4 linked regions of the Saccharomyces cerevisiae S288C genome follow. The gene in region 2 interacts genetically with the main gene of each other region. Each region holds a gene or a part of one and is shown on either strand. Other genes may lie near its edges.

The links.
Region 1: mutations in NEW1 (region 2) and AIM4 together harm fitness more than expected from each alone (negative genetic interaction), as found in Saccharomyces cerevisiae (2 studies listed by BioGRID).
Region 3: mutations in NEW1 (region 2) and ROX1 together harm fitness more than expected from each alone (negative genetic interaction), as found in Saccharomyces cerevisiae (3 studies listed by BioGRID).
Region 4: mutations in NEW1 (region 2) and SSL1 together harm fitness more than expected from each alone (negative genetic interaction), as found in Saccharomyces cerevisiae (2 studies listed by BioGRID).

The regions. Positions count from the first base shown.
Region 1 is NC_001134.8:607,411-611,308, reverse strand, and holds AIM4 (Aim4p), read right to left. Parts: upstream 1,272-3,898; coding exon 900-1,271; downstream 1-899. Other genes in the region: MSI1 (Msi1p), read left to right, coding at 1-695; RNA polymerase II mediator complex subunit MED8, read left to right, coding at 1,556-2,227; RIM2 (Rim2p), read right to left, coding at 2,524-3,657.
Region 2 is NC_001148.4:119,162-126,407, reverse strand, and holds NEW1 (New1p), read right to left. Parts: upstream 4,642-7,246; coding exon 1,051-4,641; downstream 1-1,050. Other genes in the region: ribosome-associated Tef1p biogenesis chaperone CHP1, read right to left, coding at 1-402; ALG5 (dolichyl-phosphate beta-glucosyltransferase), read left to right, coding at 5,241-6,245; CET1 (polynucleotide 5'-phosphatase), read right to left, coding at 6,377-7,246.
Region 3 is NC_001148.4:677,848-682,534, reverse strand, and holds ROX1 (Rox1p), read right to left. Parts: upstream 2,843-4,687; coding exon 1,736-2,842; downstream 1-1,735. Other genes in the region: ISA2 (Isa2p), read right to left, coding at 1-315; NEDD8-activating protein UBA3, read right to left, coding at 423-1,322; YPR064W (uncharacterized protein), read right to left, coding at 3,165-3,584; YPR063C (uncharacterized protein), read left to right, coding at 4,215-4,255, 4,342-4,687. UniProt on the Saccharomyces cerevisiae protein: Transcription factor that represses the expression of HEM13, COX5B, ANB1, CYC7 or AAC3 (hypoxic function). Binds to the DNA sequence 5'-RRRTAACAAGAG-3'.
Region 4 is NC_001144.5:157,514-162,447, reverse strand, and holds SSL1 (TFIIH/NER complex subunit SSL1), read right to left. Parts: upstream 2,400-4,934; coding exon 1,014-2,399; downstream 1-1,013. Other genes in the region: mitogen-activated protein kinase kinase kinase SSK1, read left to right, coding at 1-693; THI73 (Thi73p), read left to right, coding at 2,943-4,514; CMS1 (Cms1p), read left to right, coding at 4,718-4,934. UniProt on the Saccharomyces cerevisiae protein: Component of the general transcription and DNA repair factor IIH (TFIIH) core complex, which is involved in general and transcription-coupled nucleotide excision repair (NER) of damaged DNA and, when complexed to TFIIK, in RNA transcription by RNA polymerase II.

The sequences.
Region 1 (3,898 bases), on a different chromosome or scaffold from region 2:
CAATGGATACTTCTTCGGCAGATATAAATGAGGCGACTTCTTTAGCCTGGAACTTGCAGCAGGAGGCCCTTTTACTTTCTTCTCACTCCAACGGCCAAGTTCAAGTTTGGGACATTAAACAATATTCGCATGAGAACCCTATAATAGATTTACCCTTAGTGTCAATAAACAGCGACGGAACAGCGGTGAATGATGTAACTTGGATGCCAACACACGATTCCCTCTTTGCTGCTTGTACTGAAGGAAATGCGGTCTCCCTATTAGATCTGAGGACTAAGAAAGAGAAGCTCCAGAGTAACCGTGAAAAACACGATGGTGGAGTAAACTCCTGTAGATTTAACTATAAGAACTCTTTAATTCTAGCATCTGCAGATTCAAATGGGAGGCTAAATTTATGGGATATTAGAAACATGAACAAAAGCCCAATCGCTACCATGGAGCACGGTACTTCCGTTTCAACTTTAGAATGGAGTCCAAATTTCGATACTGTATTGGCAACGGCTGGCCAAGAAGATGGGTTAGTCAAGCTATGGGATACCTCCTGCGAAGAAACTATATTTACCCATGGTGGTCATATGCTCGGTGTGAACGACATTTCGTGGGACGCTCATGACCCTTGGTTAATGTGCAGTGTGGCAAATGATAATTCAGTTCACATATGGAAACCTGCAGGAAACCTTGTTGGACATTCGTGACCTAAACGTTCCTTGAAGCCAGGCATGCTAATGGCTCCTGTCCCTATTACATATTCAACCATTTGATAGACGAATATACAAACATAAATAGAGTTTATAAAATATGCTCAAGACTTGCTACAATAAACACTACGCTCAGACTTCATGCTGATTTCAATATTGTATTTCGAAGAAAGTGGTTGCTCATTTATTACCTTTGAACTTTCACTTTGGTATTTTGATATTCTCGAGGTTTCCCAGTCTGGCTTGAACTTCAGTTCGCCTTTTGAAAGTGGCAGGATTATAAGGTATATTTCTGTAATGTGATGGTGCAGTGCCTCTTGGATTCCAGTCTTTATCGTAAAATATACTTCTTATACCGAGTTCACCGTTCTCTTTTTCACGACCCAGTGAGTGTCCAGAATCAGCTTCTAAATGACCTTTTGATACAGTCTGCAGAAGCTGTCCCTCTTTATTTCTCTCTAGGTTTCTAGAAAGTGATTCAACTTGATTTCGTACCTTTTTCTTATTTGGGCGTTGGACCTTGGAAACCCTTCTTTCTGTTAAGTTATTACTTGGGTCCTTCTTTTGATCCATTAAGCTCAAACGTATATAGTATAAAATGATGGAATGCGAGAACTAAAAGGATTGGATGACTTTGAAGGTAATATATTTCCTTGATATTTGAAAATAATCAAAAAAATTTGCTGAAGGCCTTTGCAAAGTGTCTAAAAGTACGTTCTGTTCAAAAAAGTAAGGAAACTCAATATACAAAAATTGCCTTTTCGTCAAAGTTAAGGATTTTAATATTGAAATATTTCATCGATATAAGAGAACCCCGAGCAAGAAGAACAAAAGAAAAACATAAAGCAACGTGGAATATGTCACAATCTACTGCATCACTGGTACCAGAGGGCAATCAAGGCTCCCTCCAAGAAGATGTTAGTTTTGATTTCAATGGTGTACCTGGCCAGGCTTTAGATGCCGTGCGCATGCGTTTGGCTCAATTAACTCATTCATTGAGGAGAATCAGAGACGAAATGTCCAAAGCCGAACTGCCACAATGGTATACACTCCAATCACAACTGAATGTCACATTATCCCAGCTCGTTTCTGTAACCTCCACTCTACAACATTTCCAAGAAACTTTAGACTCTACAGTGGTTTACCCTTTGCCTAAATTCCCAACCACCTCTCATGAAAGTTTGGTCACTACCCTTTTGAGGAAGAAGAATATTCCTGAAGTGGACGAATGGATGAAATATGTTAGGGAAACATCTGGAGTAACTACAGCCTTGCTAAAGGATGAAGAAATAGAAAAGCTGCTGCAACAGGACAGAGAAATAACGAATTGGGCGCGCACTACGTTTAGAAACGAATATGGAAAGCACGATTTCAAAAATGAAGAATCCCTAAGCGAAGAACACGCTTCACTTCTAGTACGAGATAGCAAACCTTCGAAACCTTTCAATGTGGATGATGTTCTAAAGTTCACCTTCACAGGGGAAAAGCCCATTATTACGGGATCTACTTCAACATCATCTAGTAATTGAATTTTACTTCACGCTACTGATATTTTAAAACATTTTATTGTTACTAGTGACCTGGTAAAAATATTTACAAGTATAAAAGGACCAATTTACTGAATGAAGTAAATAAGGATCATTGATATGTTACGATAAATAATGCAAAGTAAAGGAGAAGAAACGAAGGGGTCCAAACCTTAGTAGGTTAGCTTTCTATAAACTTTGACAGGCTTTATATCCTTACAAAATGCACTTTTTTCATACTTTTTTGTTAGAGTATGTCTTGGCCCTAAAGTGAATTTAGAGTTTTTTAGATTTCAAGGCTACGATAGTAGCCTTATAACAATTTCCCATGTACCAAACATAATTATACTGTTCGGAACTGTTCTCATCAAATGCGGGGTCAACCCACTATACATTGAAAAGAGTCCCTCTTCTTTAATTATAACTTTGAAACTTTGTACTAAACCTGTATACTTTCGTTTACCATTTTCCTTGGGCGTTTGTCTCAATCTCGTCCTGACAACTTCGTGCGGATATGTTGCTATACTAGCCACAAATTTTGCAAGACCAGCGCTTCCTGATCTTTGACACCACTCCTTGACTTTCTCTGATGTGCTTTTTGTACCTTCGGCTTGATATCCAAATTTCTCAATAGACCTTTCCTTTATTAACCTCTTCATTTGTTCATATAATAGCCATTGAAGTATACCTTCAACAGAACCCAAATAAGAGGCACTCAACCCTTTGTACAAGCCAGTGAAACCCTCATTTCTTATAACACTTTTTAAGCAATCCCAAGAGTTCTTGTACTGTCGGACCGATGTTTTCCCAGCTTTATCAAGCTGTACTCTTGTTTTAATCAACCAAATAGGATTGGTTGCCGTCGCCGTTGCCCAACCTGCGGTTGCAGCAGCCATCAGATGAATCATAGGTGTTTCTTGGCCATTATTGAACGCTTTAGCATACATATCTTTAGTAGTTCCATAGGTAAAAAAATTAATACTTCTTGCTGGAATAACCCCGACTAAATTGGGGCCCAAACCCTTAAACAAGCTTCTAAAACCCTCTTGTTTGTACACATTGCCTATGATTCCCAGTGTTTCCTTGAAATGGGTTCCTGCTTGAATGACATAATTAATACTCTTTGGACGAGTAGATCCTTTACTGATATTAACAGCTTGTGATTTGTATGCTTTCAAAAATATATCACTTTGTAATCGGGTCTTCACCAAATCAAAGGGACACGTAACAACTGCACCCGCCATTCCTCCAATACCCCCAGCAACAAAATGAACCCATGGTTTTACTGTTGGATGATTTTCAATTTCAGATTGCTTCAAATTTAGTGGAATTTGTGTAGCTTCCTTATAATTAGAGCCCTTTTCATCACTTGCTAAATATGGAACTGATTCAATGGCATCCTCTTCCCATTCTTCAATGGATTTTTTAGGCATCTTTATCTCCTTGAAAAATTATGGGATATGAGAATGGTCAACTATGTAAGTAAGTAGGTGACTTTGACACAATAAATATAGGACCACGTAAAGACAAAATCGTCCGATTTTTTTACCTCAGTTAGCAGTACTTCAAAGAACAGTTTCTATAGAGAACAAGGCTACCCCTTTATACAAAGTTGAATTCTCTATGTGAAGTTAGACTTTTACCATTATTCTTTTTAATTTTACTTCTTGGATT
Region 2 (7,246 bases):
ATTTCTAGCAATTTCAAAAGCGTAAAATTGTAGTCTCACGACAAAACAAGTAGTAAATTGACCATACTCGGCTGAAGCGTCTGTCCTCAACAAAGTACCAAAGTTATAGTCTTCGATTTTTTTCTCAAAAATTGTGAAGAACTTTCTCCATCTTTCCTTGGCTTCTTTTGTTTTTAATTCTTCCTCCGTAAACTTTTTGACCCTTTCAACATCTTTGTATTCTGGGAATCTCTCCATAAAATTCTCGTATATTTCGTCATCAAACTTAGTCAAACGTAACTTGGAACCGGGAACACTTGTTAATAGTTTCCAATATGTTTCCGCTTGTTCAACAGCAACAACAGCGAATTGTTTCTCGATATCTTCCAAGTTATCAGCGGTTTCTGCATTAAAAGTAGACATTGTTATATGATTGTTTCGTCGTGGTTCTTCTAGTCCATCTAACCAGATGTAGCTTTAACGGGTGAAAATTATCATTACTTCTGCTAGTCGAAGAATTTATGGATGTTCATCACTCCCTAGTACAACCTCTTACCCGGACAATTTCTTCAACAATGTTCATTCATCTTTAGTTTAATGAGGGATTTATAAGGTGAAAGCCAGTAGTAAAAGTGTATTTAACCCCTTTAAATTATCGCAAACTGTGCCTAGCAGTTCAGGAGTTATTTTTGGTATACTTTTGGAGCACGATTCATAACCTCATGTAAGAAATAATAATCAATCTTCGTGTATTTTTAAAATAATAATCCTTAACAACGACCTCTTACATAAATTTGTAGTTCAACATCGACAATTGTTAGCATCAAAAAGGATCCCTTAAGTTTAAGTTTACATAATTAATCTGCGTACCGTACATATATGAAAAGAACCAATATTAACTACTCTGTATGAAAAATGAATTAACCTAGAAAACAAAAAAGGAAGGAGAGCGTCATATGCTTGTCCTAAATTCTATCAACGTAGTAAACTCCATTTGAGGAGTGAATTAAAGAAAAAAGATGGAGTGAAACAAACGAAGTTAGCGAAGATAAAACACTAGCCAGTAGGCTTTCAATCTTCTTCATCGTCAGTATCAACTGGTTTTGGTGTACCTTTTGGCGATGACAACCACTCAATGTAACGTAGACGACGACGTTCGGCTTGCAGCTTCTTTTCATTTCTTGTCAATCTCTTCTTTCTTTGCTTGACCTTGATGTTAGCTGGAGAATCATCGTCATCTACAGATGGCTTGGCCAAGTTGGAGGCCTTTAGACCAACGGCATCAGCATTACCACCATCTTCGAATTTGGATTGGTCAACTTGTGCAGAGCCCTTTTGAACCATTTTACCGTTCTCCACAATCCATTGTTCAGGACATAAAGCACCAACAAATTCGTTATTATGCGAAATCATAACGACACCACCACTCCAGTCACGAATAGCAACGGCCAAAGCACCAAGAGAGTCTCTGTCCAAATAGTTGGTAGGTTCATCCAAAACAAGTAAATGAGGGTTGTTCCACATAGCACCGGCAATAACGACTTTAACTAATTGACCACCAGATAAAGAACCTAATGGAGTATGGTTAGCAATTTCAGAATCAAGACCAACGTCTTCAAAATGTTTGGTGATAACTGAAGGAATTAATTCACGGTAACCCAACCCTTCTCTGGAGGCTTCGTGATCGTCGAATTTTTGAACCAATTTTTCAAAGCCATGCTCGACCAAAACATCTTTTGGAACCCAGGAGTTGTATTTTGGTTTCCAGTATTTCCATTTGACCTCATATTGGAAAGATTTTTTCAACTTTTGTCTACCTACAATAGCTTCAATGGCTCTCTTACCTCTACCGTCATCAATGTCGATTTCCTTTGTCATCATTTCCTTTTCATCTTCGGATATTTTTCTGGATTCCTTCAATAAGACTTCACGGTCGTCACCGAATTGATAACGCCATTGCAAATATTGGTTTGCCGTCTTTTCCTTATGTTCATTGACGTGTTGCAATGCATGCTGAGCAATATAACCAATACGTAAATTTGGATGTTTTTCCACTTTACCTTCATTTGGAACCAATTCACCAGTTAATAGCTTGATCAAAGTGGATTTACCAGCACCGTTAGGACCTAAACAAGCCACACGAGAAGACAGAGACAATGAACAGGAGACATGGCTTAAGGAAGGCTTTTGGGCACCTGGATAAGAGAAAGTTACATCAGTCATTTTAGCGACGGCTCTAGTGTTAGACTTAACACCTGTTAAAATACCTGGGGGTGGGAAACGCATTTGAGCATTAGAATCTGTTAAGGTATAGTAAGATTTAGCTTCAGGTTTCTGCTCAACAAATGCTGCCAAGTTACCTTTGTAGTAAGCCAATTTCTTGTTTTCATAATGGATGATGTCAGTACAGACTGTATCTAAGAAACCAGAGTCATGCGAAACAATCAATGAAGTAATATCAGTATGTTCCAGTAAGTATTCTTCTAACCATTTAACGTTCGAAACATCTAAATGATTGGTAGGTTCATCCAGCAATAAAATATCAGCTTTTTGTAACATAGCTCTTGCCAATTCCAACTTCATTTTCCAACCACCAGATAAAGATCCAACAGTTTGTGCTCTTCTCTCTTCATCAAAACCGACAGATTCTAAAGCGGCTGCAATTTCCTCACGAGAAGTAGATTGCAGTTCTTCATCTAAAGCAATGAAGGAAACCAAGTCTAAATCACCTTCTTCACCTTGCAATTTATGTTCGACGAAACAGGTGCGTAATGTATCCTTGTCAGGAAAACCATCCAATTGACCATTAGCAATTGCTCTCATTAAAGTAGACTTACCAGCACCATTTCTACCACACAAACCGTAACGATGACCCTTTAGGAGACGAAGATTTGTTTTGTTCAAAAGCATTCTTGAACCATAAGCTAAGGAGAAATCAGTGTTGACAATCTCAATACCTTCGTCCTCATCTGCCCTTTCCTTTTCTTGGTAGAATAAAGCTCTCAAGTTATGGATAAAGTCTTGTTTGACAAATTCTCTTTGTGAATCTGAACCACCAAAAACGGCGGTCAAAAAATCTTCAAGTCTTTTCCAGTCGTTCACATTAGAATCCACGGTCAAAATCTTGCTCATATACTTGATAACAGTTTCGTCATTCATGTAAGGCTTGACAAAACAGGAATCATCAGCTTTAATGTCCTTGAGGTGATCAAGTAAGAAATCCCTACCTTCTTCTAAAGTCAGTCTGCCTGAGAATTTGTTTTCCTTATCAGCTTCGTCATCTTCTTTTAGAACGTTAAGGGCCTTTTCAGCCAATTCACGAACTTCAGGTAAGGACGCAGTATCAACAACCTTTTGGATACCGGGTAGTAGTAGAGGGATGAAGCTTTCAATTTCATTACGATTATTCACCAATCTTGTCAAATTCTCCACGACAATAACGGTTTGTCTTAATTGCTCTTGAGATGATGACGATAGGTTTAAAGATCTGTTTAGAATAGGAACTAACAAAGATAGTGAAGGTTCCGTAACTTCAGCGACAAATGTAACACTGGATAACGATTTTACAGATTCAGGAACCTTAGATGGATCTTGCAGGGTGTCCACGATCAATTTATAACGAGGAGACAAATCTAAGTTATCCAAAATAGAAACGTAGTCCAATAAAGTTTTGTAACCTTGTTTGGCCAATTCAGGTTTGAAATCAGTTGCTACATCGGTTAAAACTGGAACTGCATCTTTGAAAGTAAGTTCCAATAAATCGTTCGCCGAATCTTCTCTTATTCTATCTACAACGCTTAGAGCGGCCATTTTAGCTTGCCATTTGGCACCAGATGATAAGTAATCCAAAATCGTAGGCAGTACAAAACAGGTTAAAGCCTCCATTGGAAAGCAATTCAACAAAGAATCAATGGCATGTTGCGCGGCACGTTTGACTGTATTCTCTTTATCTGAAATACAGTCAAGTGCGACATTGAAGAATGGTAGCAAGTATGCTTCCTGTGGTGGCTTTCCACTGAAAAATTGAGCAATGTTGGAAATTATTAGCATGGCAGATTCTCTAACTAATGATGGATTCTTAGGTTTGATGAATTTAGATAGAACATCGACGATTTTCCACTCTTCAATTTTCTCACCCGTACTGTTACCTTCTTTGCCAAATTCTTCAATGATTAGTTTGATTTGATTTTTGCAATCAGTGATACTTTGACATTCAGGTATCTTTGACAAAAATTGAGAGATGGGTGTTAACTCTAAGTTCGACAGCTTTTCATTCAAAGAGGTCAAAGATGTAGTAGAAGCAGATGGAGTTGGAGTTCCACTTTGGTTGGGCGTCACAGCCGATTGTTTGTAAGTAGATTTTTGATAGCCCTGGCCATTGTATTTATTATAGTTATTGTAGTTGTTATAATTGTTGTAGTTGTTGTAGTTGTTGTAATTGTTGTAATTACTGTTATACGATTGGTAACCACCTTGTTGGTAGTTGCCCCCCTGTTTCCAATTACGCTGTTGTTGGTAGCTACTTTTTTTGGAAGCGTTATTACTACCGGCATCAGCAGCAGGGTTTTTAAAATAACCACCGAAGGGAGAAGCGACTAGATTTGGGTCCTTTGGTTGGTCGTCAAGGAAAGAGTTTAGATCCTTAAACTTCTTTGGAGGCATCCTGAGTTGAATTAGCACTGATTGTCGTTGTATTTACAGTTTACAAGATATAAATTATGCACTATAGATCGACGCATATGTATTATCTTAAATAGGTTGCAATATATTATTATTTTTTAACATTTATTGCGATGCTGCTGAAAATTTTTTTTCCACCTTGAAACTTTTCTTTTTCCATTGAAAAATTAGATGTGGTGTTTGGGTTTATTCCATTTGATCTTGTAACTTCTATACTAGTCACAACTAACAAGTCCAAAGTCAAGTGTACATAGTTATCCTATTTTCACCGTTATCACTTCAGTACCTTTTAATTTATATATATTAATGCACATGGCTCTGTTGTATCTTTCGAAGCAGTGTATGCCATTTTTTTCATGAGAAAGCGAAATTTGGCGTATTCGAAAAAAAGTGTAAACAAGAAGAAAACGTGCCAATTTTCAAGGCTTTATCGCAATTAAAGTGGCACAAAGGACCATAGTCACTGTGGAAAGGTAGTGGTATCTAATTGGATGCTGTAAGGATAGATTAGGTGCTTTTGATAACGTAAGAAAGGGACAAAAACAGAGAGGCAGCCAAAAATTACACAAAGCACAACAAAAATGAGAGCGTTGAGATTCCTGATTGAGAACAGAAACACTGTCTTTTTTACGCTCTTAGTAGCCTTGGTGCTTTCACTGTATTTATTGGTCTATTTATTTTCGCATACACCAAGGCCGCCATATCCAGAGGAGCTCAAATACATAGCTATTGATGAAAAAGGTCATGAAGTTAGTCGTGCCTTACCTAACTTGAATGAACACCAAGATGACGAAGAAATATTTTTATCTGTTGTTATCCCAAGCTATAATGAGACAGGTAGAATTTTACTAATGTTGACAGACGCAATCAGCTTTTTAAAGGAAAAATATGGTTCCAGATGGGAGATTGTCATAGTGGATGATGGTTCCACAGATAATACCACACAATACTGTTTGAAAATTTGTAAAGAACAGTTCAAATTGAACTACGAACAATTCAGAATCATCAAGTTTTCTCAAAACAGAGGCAAAGGTGGCGCAGTGAGACAAGGTTTTTTACATATTAGAGGTAAGTATGGTCTTTTTGCCGATGCTGATGGTGCTAGTAAGTTCAGTGATGTAGAAAAACTAATAGATGCTATTAGCAAAATTGAAACGTCTAGTACAGATCTAAAAACGACTAAACCAGCAGTAGCAATTGGTTCCAGAGCACATATGGTAAATACCGAAGCCGTCATAAAGAGATCAATGATAAGAAACTGCTTGATGTACGGTTTCCATACCTTAGTTTTCATCTTCGGCATCAGGTCTATCAAAGACACACAATGTGGATTCAAATTGTTCAACAGAGCCGCTATATTGAAAATTTTTCCGTATTTGCATACAGAGGGTTGGATCTTTGACGTTGAAATTTTGATCTTAGCCATCAGAAAAAGAATCCAAATTGAGGAGATACCAATTTCCTGGCATGAGGTTGATGGCTCTAAGATGGCTTTAGCTATTGATAGTATCAAAATGGCGAAAGACTTGGTTATTATAAGAATGGCCTATTTATTAGGGATATATAGAGATAATAAGAAATGTTAGAGTAATTATTTTTATGTTATTATTATCATTATTATTATTATTACATAAGCTTTCATAACAGCATTTGAGTAAACAAAAAAAATTTCTCGCTCAAGGGCATTTGCTTATTTTTTTTTGAAATGATTCAAATATTACATGACTTTCTTTGAACCTTCAAAAATTTCATATGATAAAGACGATAACTTTCTTCTAATAATTGTACCATTATTCAGAAACGTTCTAATAAGAGATGCATATTCTTTACTATCGTTCGTTATGTTATCAAAGGCGTTTAACAGTGCAGGCGTGTTGATTTCTAGTTCCACTTCGTGAGTGGTCTCTGATTGTCTACTTTTTGAATTTTGGTTATGATTTTCGACTTTTGTAATATCAATTCTGGTACAGGAATCATTATGAATGTAACTAACACGGTCTTTCGTCCTTTCACTAATTGGGCTTTGAGATTTATATTTTTCTGGCGGATCGTTGTCAGGTACAGGTAATTCCAAGTTTAGGGAGATTTTAACGTCGTAACTATCTTTTGGTGAATATAATAGTAGTTGGGCTACATGTCTTTTCTCTATAAATTGTCCTACCCTCCCAGTCTTAATATCTGTACTCATTCTCAAAAACCTTGGTCTTTGCGTGGATAGTCCGACTCTATAGACGGAATCTCTTGTCTGGGATTCAATAATACTGAATTTACCTGTATTTTCAGTGACTTCGCTAATACCACGAATATATTTGCTCAACTCTTTGAACAAAGATGCATCAATATTAGGCGTTAGATGGGCATCAAGCTCAGTGAAAACACATTGTGAAGAAACTGGTGGATTTACACGATCTGGGCCTTTCGCATCAATAATAACACCAAATTTCATTTCTAACTCAATGAAGGATCTTAGTTCAGGAGCAATTGAGTATATTGTAGCATAAACCCAGTCCTGTACTGACTTTGTTAAGTCATCATCGGGAATAATGTTTAAAAAAGATGGGTCAATTTTGAGATCTTTCACATTTAT
Region 3 (4,687 bases), 560 kb from region 2:
ATCTGGCTTGGTAGCGGGTTCTAGAGTTAGATTGTACTGGAAACCGTGACATCCACCACTTTCCACACTAATTCTTAAATTTTCCTTACTATTGCGGTAGATCTCAGCTAGTCTGTTGGAAGCCCTCTCAGAAATAGATAAGTTTAACCCAGGCGTCTTATTTATTATTCTTTTCGGTGTGATCAACGGCTCCTTAGTGACCAGATCCGAGTAAAATGCTTTGCTATGAAATAAAAAACATGTTAGGGGAAACTGGCGTAAAGTTGTGGAGGGACGTCTAAAGTTTAGTCTGGTAAACAATAATTTAGCCTGCATACCTTCTTTACTGTGCAATCACATGTACAAGGCTCTCTAGGATCTCGACTTACTTGCAAGATGTTTAAACAAGTGACACCGGCGGATGGTATTATTCATTAGTAATACTAGTTGGAATTGGAATTTGAACAAACAGTACAGTCGGGTAACCGCTCGAACTTGAAACTGTACATAAAACACCCTTCTGAGCAGTTAATCAAAGTGAAATTATTGCCGTTTTCCAGGTCGATTAAATCATTATAAATCTTAACCATCTGCGTACAGCATGTCGCTGCAACCATCGCATTCGTAGTGCTTACACTAGGTATGATACTCTTTATTATACCCAGGATAAAACTTGTTGATAATTTTTCTGTTGAGATGCTAAATTGGGCAGCCCTTTCGCAGCACTTCTCCAGCAGAAATTCCATATCCGCCGTAGACTCAATATTTAAATCAGGGTATTGTATAGTTGAGACATACTCCACAACATGCTCAATGCAGCGAGGATTGTTGGCGATTGTACACATTGGCACAGTATCCTGCTGCGAGGGCAAGGTATCAATGGAGCACTCCCAGCATGCAGTGATGCCTGGAATGATTGTTTTTACATGTCCCTTGAGCCCCTCTGTTCCACCATCTATGAACGGGATGCAAATTTCATAATTGGACTCCAAGGTAAGCTTCACGAGAGTCTCATTGATGAAGCGACGAGGTTCAATGGCGTCCAGCCCCGAGATTATGAACTGGAAGTCTTTGTAAAAGCTCGGGGGCAAAGTGGTCAGGTCCTGTACGTGCGCCACAACTTCCAATTGAGGGAACCGCGTGTTTACATACTGGGCTGCCACTTGAGCTTTCGGTTTGCCTATGTCCTTATCACAAAAAAGAAATTGTCTATTAAGGTTGGTTAGCTCGATTGTGTCTATATCTACAATATGAACCTGTTTAACAAAGCTTAACATTGTCAAATTCTTCAGGATTTCGCATCCTAGACCACCTGCGCCTAACACCAATATCTTGCAGTCCATCCTCGTCGCTTTATTATCGATAATATAGGTATACAATATCTCATTGATTTGTTTTTTAAGTTTAAAAAAAAGGGCTTAAAAAACGACTATGCTGAAACATTATACAATAATACATATTTTTTTTTAAAGGAATGATATTATTTGTGAGGTGAATATATACGTGAAAATTGAGAATATAATTTTATATATTCAAATAGAATTTGTAGACTGTTTCTTTTTTCTTTTCTTTCTTTTTTGTCTCTGGGTACTTTGTTTTAATTTTGACTTTTATTTGCTGTTATTTTACATATTTTTCAATTGTTCTTTTGAGGCGATTTAAACTTTTATTAAACAGGAGCCAAATGCATAAATTTTTAGTTAAAGGGAATATAGTATAATATAATATAACGGAAAGAAGAAATGGAAAAAAAAAATCATTTCGGAGAAACTAGGCTAGTTTTAGCGGTGACCTCAGTGTTGCTTGAGTTTATAATTTGATGTAGAGGAATGTTTTGGTTTGGTATATGAGGAATGTGATGATGCGTAGGGGTAGTTGTGGACAATAGATTGTTCCTGGTGTGAGACAGTGGTTTGACAATATAAGTTGGTCCCATCTGCTTTAGCTGCTGGTACTGATCCAGTTGAAAATCTTGCAGAGAAGGTAATAGAGGGGGAGGTAAATATTGATTTGAATTGTTGATACTGTTTAATCTGTTGTTCTCCAGTACAGAGGAGTTCGGAGAAGAGGAGAATTTCCCAGGAGAAGATGTCGCAGTTGTTGTGGATGTGGTAGTTGTAGTTACCGGTGTTTGACTGCTGTTGTTGATAATGGATGAAATAAAGGGCAATTGAGGGGTCGAGTTAGCCCTTGGTTGAGCTTGAGCGACGTTGAGGTAATGATGTCTCGTTGAAGGGTCGTGTGGAGCTGAGTAATATGGAATAGAATTTAGTTGAGATGACAGCTGTGGTAGGTCTCTTGCCGTCTTATCATGCGTCAAAGGTAGTCCACTTAAAGATCTGGAGACCATATAGTTAGAAGTATTAACAGAAGGAATAGGCAACCTCTTAAGATCATTGTTCAATTGGAACTGATAGCTGTTCGAGCTTGACACCGAGGAAGATGGTGAAAGAGAATGTGCTCTTTTCATAAGAACTATATTGTTGTTAAAGGGCTGTTGTAATTGCGGTTGTGACTGTTTCTGCTGCTGCTGTTCTTTCTGTTGTTGCTGCTGCTGTTGCTCGATTTCCTTCAAAAGTAGTTGCTTCTTCTTAGACTTTCTTACCGGCTTGTATTTGTATTCAGGATACTTCCTTTCATGTTCTAGTTTCTCCTTCTCCGCTAGATTTTCCCAGTGTGCCTTATCTTCCGGTTGTAAGCCCTTCCACTTCGTACCAATAATTTTAGAAATGTTTGAATTATGGGGTATTTCCACACCTTGAGCGGTCCATTCGTCTATTAAGATCCTGTGGTAGTGCTGTCTGAACAGAATAAATGCGTTCTTGGGTCTTGGAATCTTAGGTGTAGAGGATTTAGGATTCATTGTTGATTGTCTAACTGCGTTCTTTTGTGTGAAGAAGTATTAGTATTTTCTGGAATAATGAGGGGTGAAGAGGGAGAGTTAAGACACCGTAAATGTATAATTATATGCGAAAATTATAAAAGAAAGCAATGAGAAGAAACATTAAAACTGGAAAATAGTGCTATATTTAAGTAAAACTTCTGAAACTACAATTAGCAAATAAGATAGAGCAGAAAAGGAAAATGCAAGAGCGAAAAAAAAAAAACTTTGTTTAAGACCGTTACATTACGCAAAGTGAAAACGAAGAAAATATAATAGCAAAGAGCACTATAATAGTAAGAACCTACACACAAAAGACACAAAGAACACCGGCAAGACAATACGAGGAAGAACAACAAAAGAGGCAGCAACAATAGGCCCTTTTCTTCTTTGTCAGCAATCGCCAAGTTCTAGAACAAGGTTTTCCTACCAGATTTCCAATTGTTTTGCATAGTAATTCCCGGTAGTTCCACGCGGCCGATACCTCGACAGGCCAATGATATCCAGGGGATTTGTCGGCCGAGCCGAAGATCACCTGCCTCTCCGACGTCGGCTTTGCAGCTGCGGCAGCTCCTAGCGTAAGTAGCAGGAAAAAAAAGAAAGAAAATACTTTAAAGTACGCCTGCACCTGGGTTGCTCTAAACGGGAACAAGAGCCGGTTCCGATAACCGCACACTATTATTTCTAATCCCTCTACGTAATTGCTAAGCACACATGACTTCATACTTGCGTCACCCCGATTTTATTATTCCCTCCGGTTAAGCAAACGCCGCACCCCTGAGTCCGCCAGACCGGCCGCAAGAGAACGCAGTGTGTGTTCCTGTCTCTTTGCACGAACAAAGGAGATAGGACGGCACCCAGGCTCGCTAGGCGGCTACATGACTAAATGCCCAAGTTTCGTGCATTATGTAGAAGAAAATAGACGTCTGTGTAATCATTTCTTGAAGCAAAGCAATATTTGCAGGTTGAATGTAGGTCAACTGCATACTGGGAAGCGTTTTCTGACCGCTTCGGAAGCGTGAGCGGTCCGTCTCTTACAACTCGTTTGGAGCTACATGGTGAGACAACATTGGCGCGCACGCCAATGTTGTCCTTCTCAATGGCCATGCAAACACTGCTATTTTATCGATAACTGTTGTGATCTTGGCTTAGTTCTTGTGCTTTTTACACCCCGCAGTAGCGCTAGTTGTATGATTGCGGTTATCTGTCGCTTCTGTTCTCGTAACGCGCAACATGGAAGAAAAAATACTGAAAAATAATTTTAACAAAAGCTTGAGCAGAATGGGCATGGTACAACATCCATAGGCAAAAAAAAGGAATACATATACTCCGCTGCTACCTCCTCAACTAAACAATGACTTTGAATAACGTTGCAAGGCCCGACCTTTGTGTTTCGTATGTTTTTCACCGACAATTTTCTTTCAAATTTGCTGATATTGCCAATATATACTAACAGTTCAACCGCTCCCTTTCTACCACAGGTACAAGAAAATTGCGCCACCAAAAGGACTATATTCTGCCACACCAAGCATATCTGGTGTGGTTAACCAATCCATGCCTATGGCCGCTATTTTCTTGAGGAACAAGTTCATTGCCTGGTTCTCCCTGATTCAGAGTGTACACTACTACCTGAACACCGACGAAGACATCATCGTTGCCTATAAGGAAAATAAGGCACCATCTCCAATGGACCAGCCTCCTGCAATCAAGCTATTCATGAGTTTAATCGGGTTATGCGTGTGTTACATGAACTTAGTTTTCCCTCAACAAATAGCTCAACCATCGTCTAGCGGCTCTAAAGGTAATACTGAAACGACAATTGAGACA
Region 4 (4,934 bases), on a different chromosome or scaffold from region 2:
TCCTCTCCACCAGATCCTTTACCAAACCTTTTTACCACCACAAGTGAAAAAGTTTTCCCCAAAATTAATGTTTTAATAGTTGAAGACAACGTCATCAACCAAGCTATCTTAGGTTCCTTTCTGAGGAAACACAAAATCTCATATAAACTGGCTAAAAATGGTCAAGAAGCTGTTAATATTTGGAAGGAAGGCGGTCTTCATTTAATATTTATGGATTTACAGCTGCCTGTCTTGTCTGGTATAGAAGCTGCCAAGCAGATTAGGGACTTCGAAAAACAAAATGGCATTGGCATTCAAAAAAGTCTCAATAACTCACACTCCAATCTTGAAAAAGGTACTTCAAAGAGATTCTCTCAGGCGCCCGTGATTATTGTAGCATTGACCGCATCTAACTCTCAGATGGATAAAAGAAAAGCACTTCTTTCTGGTTGTAACGACTACCTGACTAAACCAGTGAATTTACACTGGCTTAGTAAGAAAATTACAGAGTGGGGATGTATGCAAGCCTTGATTGATTTTGACAGCTGGAAGCAGGGAGAAAGCCGGATGACCGACAGTGTTTTGGTTAAATCTCCACAGAAACCTATTGCACCTTCCAACCCTCACTCATTCAAACAAGCGACATCTATGACCCCTACACACAGCCCAGTAAGAAAAAATTCAAACCTCTCGCCCACTCAAATAGAATTGTGAGTTTGGTTGTACCGTGTAGAGGACATTATGATAGAATGTAACGATATTTATTCAAAATAATTATTAATATTATTGTAAAACAAAGAATTTTTTTTTTTTTTTTAGTTGAATAAGTGCCTGATAAATTGAAAATAGTAATAAATATTCTTAATGCCGTAAGTGCTATTAAGATTTTCTCGTAATAAACAATAGGACATTAAATGAGGTTATTTTTGTAATAATTATGTAGTTATATGTCCATCAAAAACTATTTCGTTCTCTACTACTTGGATTTGTTATATGATGGAAGAGTGATCGTGTTATACGCTGACAGATTTTCGTTAAGTTATTACGGGCTTGGATTCACAGCCTGGGCAGTTATGAAGGATTTCATGGATGAACACATCGCAGTCAACACAAAATTCTTGTTTACAATCTTCACAACGATAGCGAGAACTTGTCAGTAGTTTACCATTTTTATGGTTTTTCAGTATGGGAAATCTTGACTGGCAACTAAAGCAGTCTTCTGATCGAAATTTTTCTGTTGTAGGTACTTCTGCAAATGTTTTTAACGGCATCAGATGGTGATATGATCTGGCCAGGTGGGTAGAAAGGATTAGCATCAAGTCACAACATGGACAGACTGTGGGCAATGAACAAACTTTACTATGACAATTGGGACAGAAGTATCCGCCGTAAACTAACTTGGAATGGCACGAACAAAAAGTTGGAGTATCTTCGAATATCCTTGTCGGAAACCCCATCTTTACGAGTGTGAAACCCTTATTAATTTTGTTAACGGGTAAAGGGGTAACAGCCTCGTTAAATAGCTCCTTTAAGTGAGTTTCATCGAGTAAAATTTTATAGAAGGATTCATCACCATAATTCGTTGCCTTGCATAATTCTTTACATATGGCCACTTGAGCTGATAACCCCAAAACCTTCACTCTAATTTTCTCAGAAACTAACGAATCGATAGTTTGGTGAATATCTCCAGGATCAGTTGTGGAAAGACTACCAAATACAATCAGTACTTCCCTTGTACAATGCGCAGGAACAGGCAATAAAAGGCCTCTTGCCATTTCCAATGCATTTTGCAATGAAGGGTTTCCTTTCGGTTCTTGTTTCCTGATGGATTTCAACGCATCAATGTGATCCTGCGGGTTTCCGCTAACTTGGCTGACCAGTTGTGCCAAACCGTTTCTCATTATGATAATACCCATTTGAGATATCGGATTTTGGTCGAAAAATTCATGGACAAAATCTATGGCGTACTGGATAATCATGGCATGCCTGTTTGGTCTCAAATCCTTTTCCAACATAGCTTCACTACAATCTAGTGTTAATATTAAACTTCTGATAATACCTCTTTGGTATGGCGTTATGTTTTTCTTAGCAGTACGTTTCTTTCTGGCCTCGACTATGCTAGCCACAAGAGATGCCATATCCCCTTCATCGTCCACTTTCACCAAATCCCAACTTCTCTTGATCTCATCCTCCCAAGCGTACCCACCATTTGAACCTTGCAGGTTTCTATTCGAGAGCCTTTTCTTCTTCTTACGCTGCACATGTTTATCCCTATCCCTGTGGCTTGAACTGTGCTGCTGTTGCTGTTGGTCTACACGATCATCTCCCTCGCCATCAAAATGAACTTGTCTCTTAGTTCTTCTAGTAATGGCAACTCTATCCTCATCCTCTTCAGATTCTGAAATAACTACAGGAGCCATTCTACTGCACAATCCTTCCGCACACACGCAATTAGCTGCCGACTTGCCCCACTAGTAATCACCTGCATCTATATAAGATAAGATGAAGACCTTTTACGTATCTTGAAAAACTATACAATAGCAAAGAAACCTACCACCCAGACCCTGTGCGGAGTATCTCGAACTTCCAGTATATTACTCTCAAGTAGATGACGCGTAATAGACAGGTTTTATTGGCAAATTTCGAGTCGCTATCATTATCAACATTAATTATAGGGTGGTGTTTGGTTGGTTCGAGTGCCGTCATAACTATTTGTTTTTTTTGCATATCTGGTTGATCCTCCTTAGTTAATATAGTCTCTTTGAGTTTCCCTTAAGGAACTGTCATTTGGTCCGGCGGAAAACATGGTGGTGACAGACAGCCTTTTCAGAGGTGATGAGCAATCTCGATGAGCATCTCAGCGGGTGCATATATACACGTATATAAGATAGTTCAAAGTATGATAGATTAAAGTTTACTTTGTTGTTGCTGAGAAGTAGTGAGAGTGTCAGCAAATCAATACAATGAAAAACATGTCACAACGATCCATGGACGTGGAGAAGAAGGCAGCTAACGCTGATAGTTGTTCCGTAAGTACCTCGAGCATTAATGTAGACGATGCGGACGTTGCTTTAAGATTCCTGAAACAGAACGGTCTCGACGAAAGCTCCACGGCTAATGAAGACGATGTTGTAGCAGGCGAAGAAGCCAACTTCTATGGTTCCCATGAATTATCTCCTAAGGTCCTGAGAAAAGTTGACCTCTTCATCCTGCCCTTTTTATGCTGTACATATCTTCTGATGTTTTTGGATAAGGCTCTGCTGAACTACGCTGCATCTATGGGTATCAAAGATCATTTGAAAGGTAACGAATTTTCTAATTTGGGTACTATCTTTTCTGCTGCTTACATTTTCATGGAACCTGTGGTCACTTACTTAATTCAAAAATTCCCCATTTCCAAAATCCTAGGTACTTTTATTACCGTCTGGGGTATCGTGTTGGCTTGCCATGCTGCTTGTAAGACGTACGCCTCGTTGATGGTCGTTCGTACTCTCCTAGGTCTCTTTGAATCCTCGAGTGCAGTTGGTTGTATCGCTATTAGTGGTATGTACTATACTAAATCTGAACAGAGTGCAAGAATTGGATTCTGGGCCACACAGGCTGGTACAGGTTATATTGTGGGCGGGTTAATTTCTTTTGGCTTTTTACATTATCATGGTACCGCTTTCACCTCTTGGCAAATAATGTTTTTGGTCGTTGGTCTGGTTACAGTTGCGTTTGGTGTTCTAACATTCTTATACCTTCCAGATAACGTCACCAATGCTTGGTTCCTAAACAAAGAGGAAAAAATTCAAGTTGTTGAGCATATCAGAGCTAACCAAACTGGCCTGGAAACAAAGAAGTTTAAGAAGCAGCAAGTTAAAGAACTATTCCTTCATGATAAGTTTACTTGGCCGATGCTTTTATTAACTGCATGTTCTCAAATTTCTACTGGTGCCATTGGTACATTTTCAGTGACCATCACTGGTACTTTTGGTTTCGACAAGTACGAAACAGCATTACTGCAGTTGCCTATTGGTGCCATTACGGCTATGATTATTCTTATAACAACTCAAATGTTGTCCCGCTGGGGTCATATCACACTCATAACCACATCTATGTATATTCCAGCTATTATAGGTTGTATCGTTCTTATCAGTTTACCCTTATCCCATAAGATCGGTAACTTATTTTCTCTGTACTTGCTTTACAGTGGTTCCTGTGTCATTACCAATATTTACATCTGGAATTCATGCAACACCTCCGGTTACACCAAAAGAGTTTTTAGAAATGCTATTACAATGATTGTATACAATGTCTCCTGTATTATTGCTCCACAGATGTTTAGGGCATACTCTGCTCCACGTTACATACCAGCAAAGATTGCCTTATTGGTCACTCAGTGTGTTTGTGTTCCCCTACAATTATACATTGGCTACATTTGCAAGAAGGAGAACGAAAAGCGTGATAAGGAACAAGAAGGTCAAGAAAGGAAGAAGTACCAATTTTTGGACTTGACTGATATCGAAAACAGAAATTTCAGGTACATTTACTAATAATCAACTTTTAATTTACAATATATAATATTTTTAGTCTGTAATATTCAATATTCAAAGACACCCAAACATTCATTGCACTTGGTATTTACCAAAAAATTGAAGAGAAAATTTTTGAGATGACCATGGATGAGGCAATGAAAGTCGAAATTTGATCCCCGCTACTAACTTCTAAACATATCGTCAGGACAATTGAGCTGAAAATGTCTAATCCAGATGATTTAGATGATGGACTCGCCTATGATTTTGATGCCGAACATGAAGTAATTTTTGACGCCAAGGATGGTAGTCCCCCAACCAAAAAGGTACAAAAGAGGTCTATAGAACAAGATGACGATGACGTTGATGATATAGATGGGAAAAAAGAGGAGAGAAATTCAGAAGATGATTCGAATAGACCTATTTCGAAAAGACAGAAAA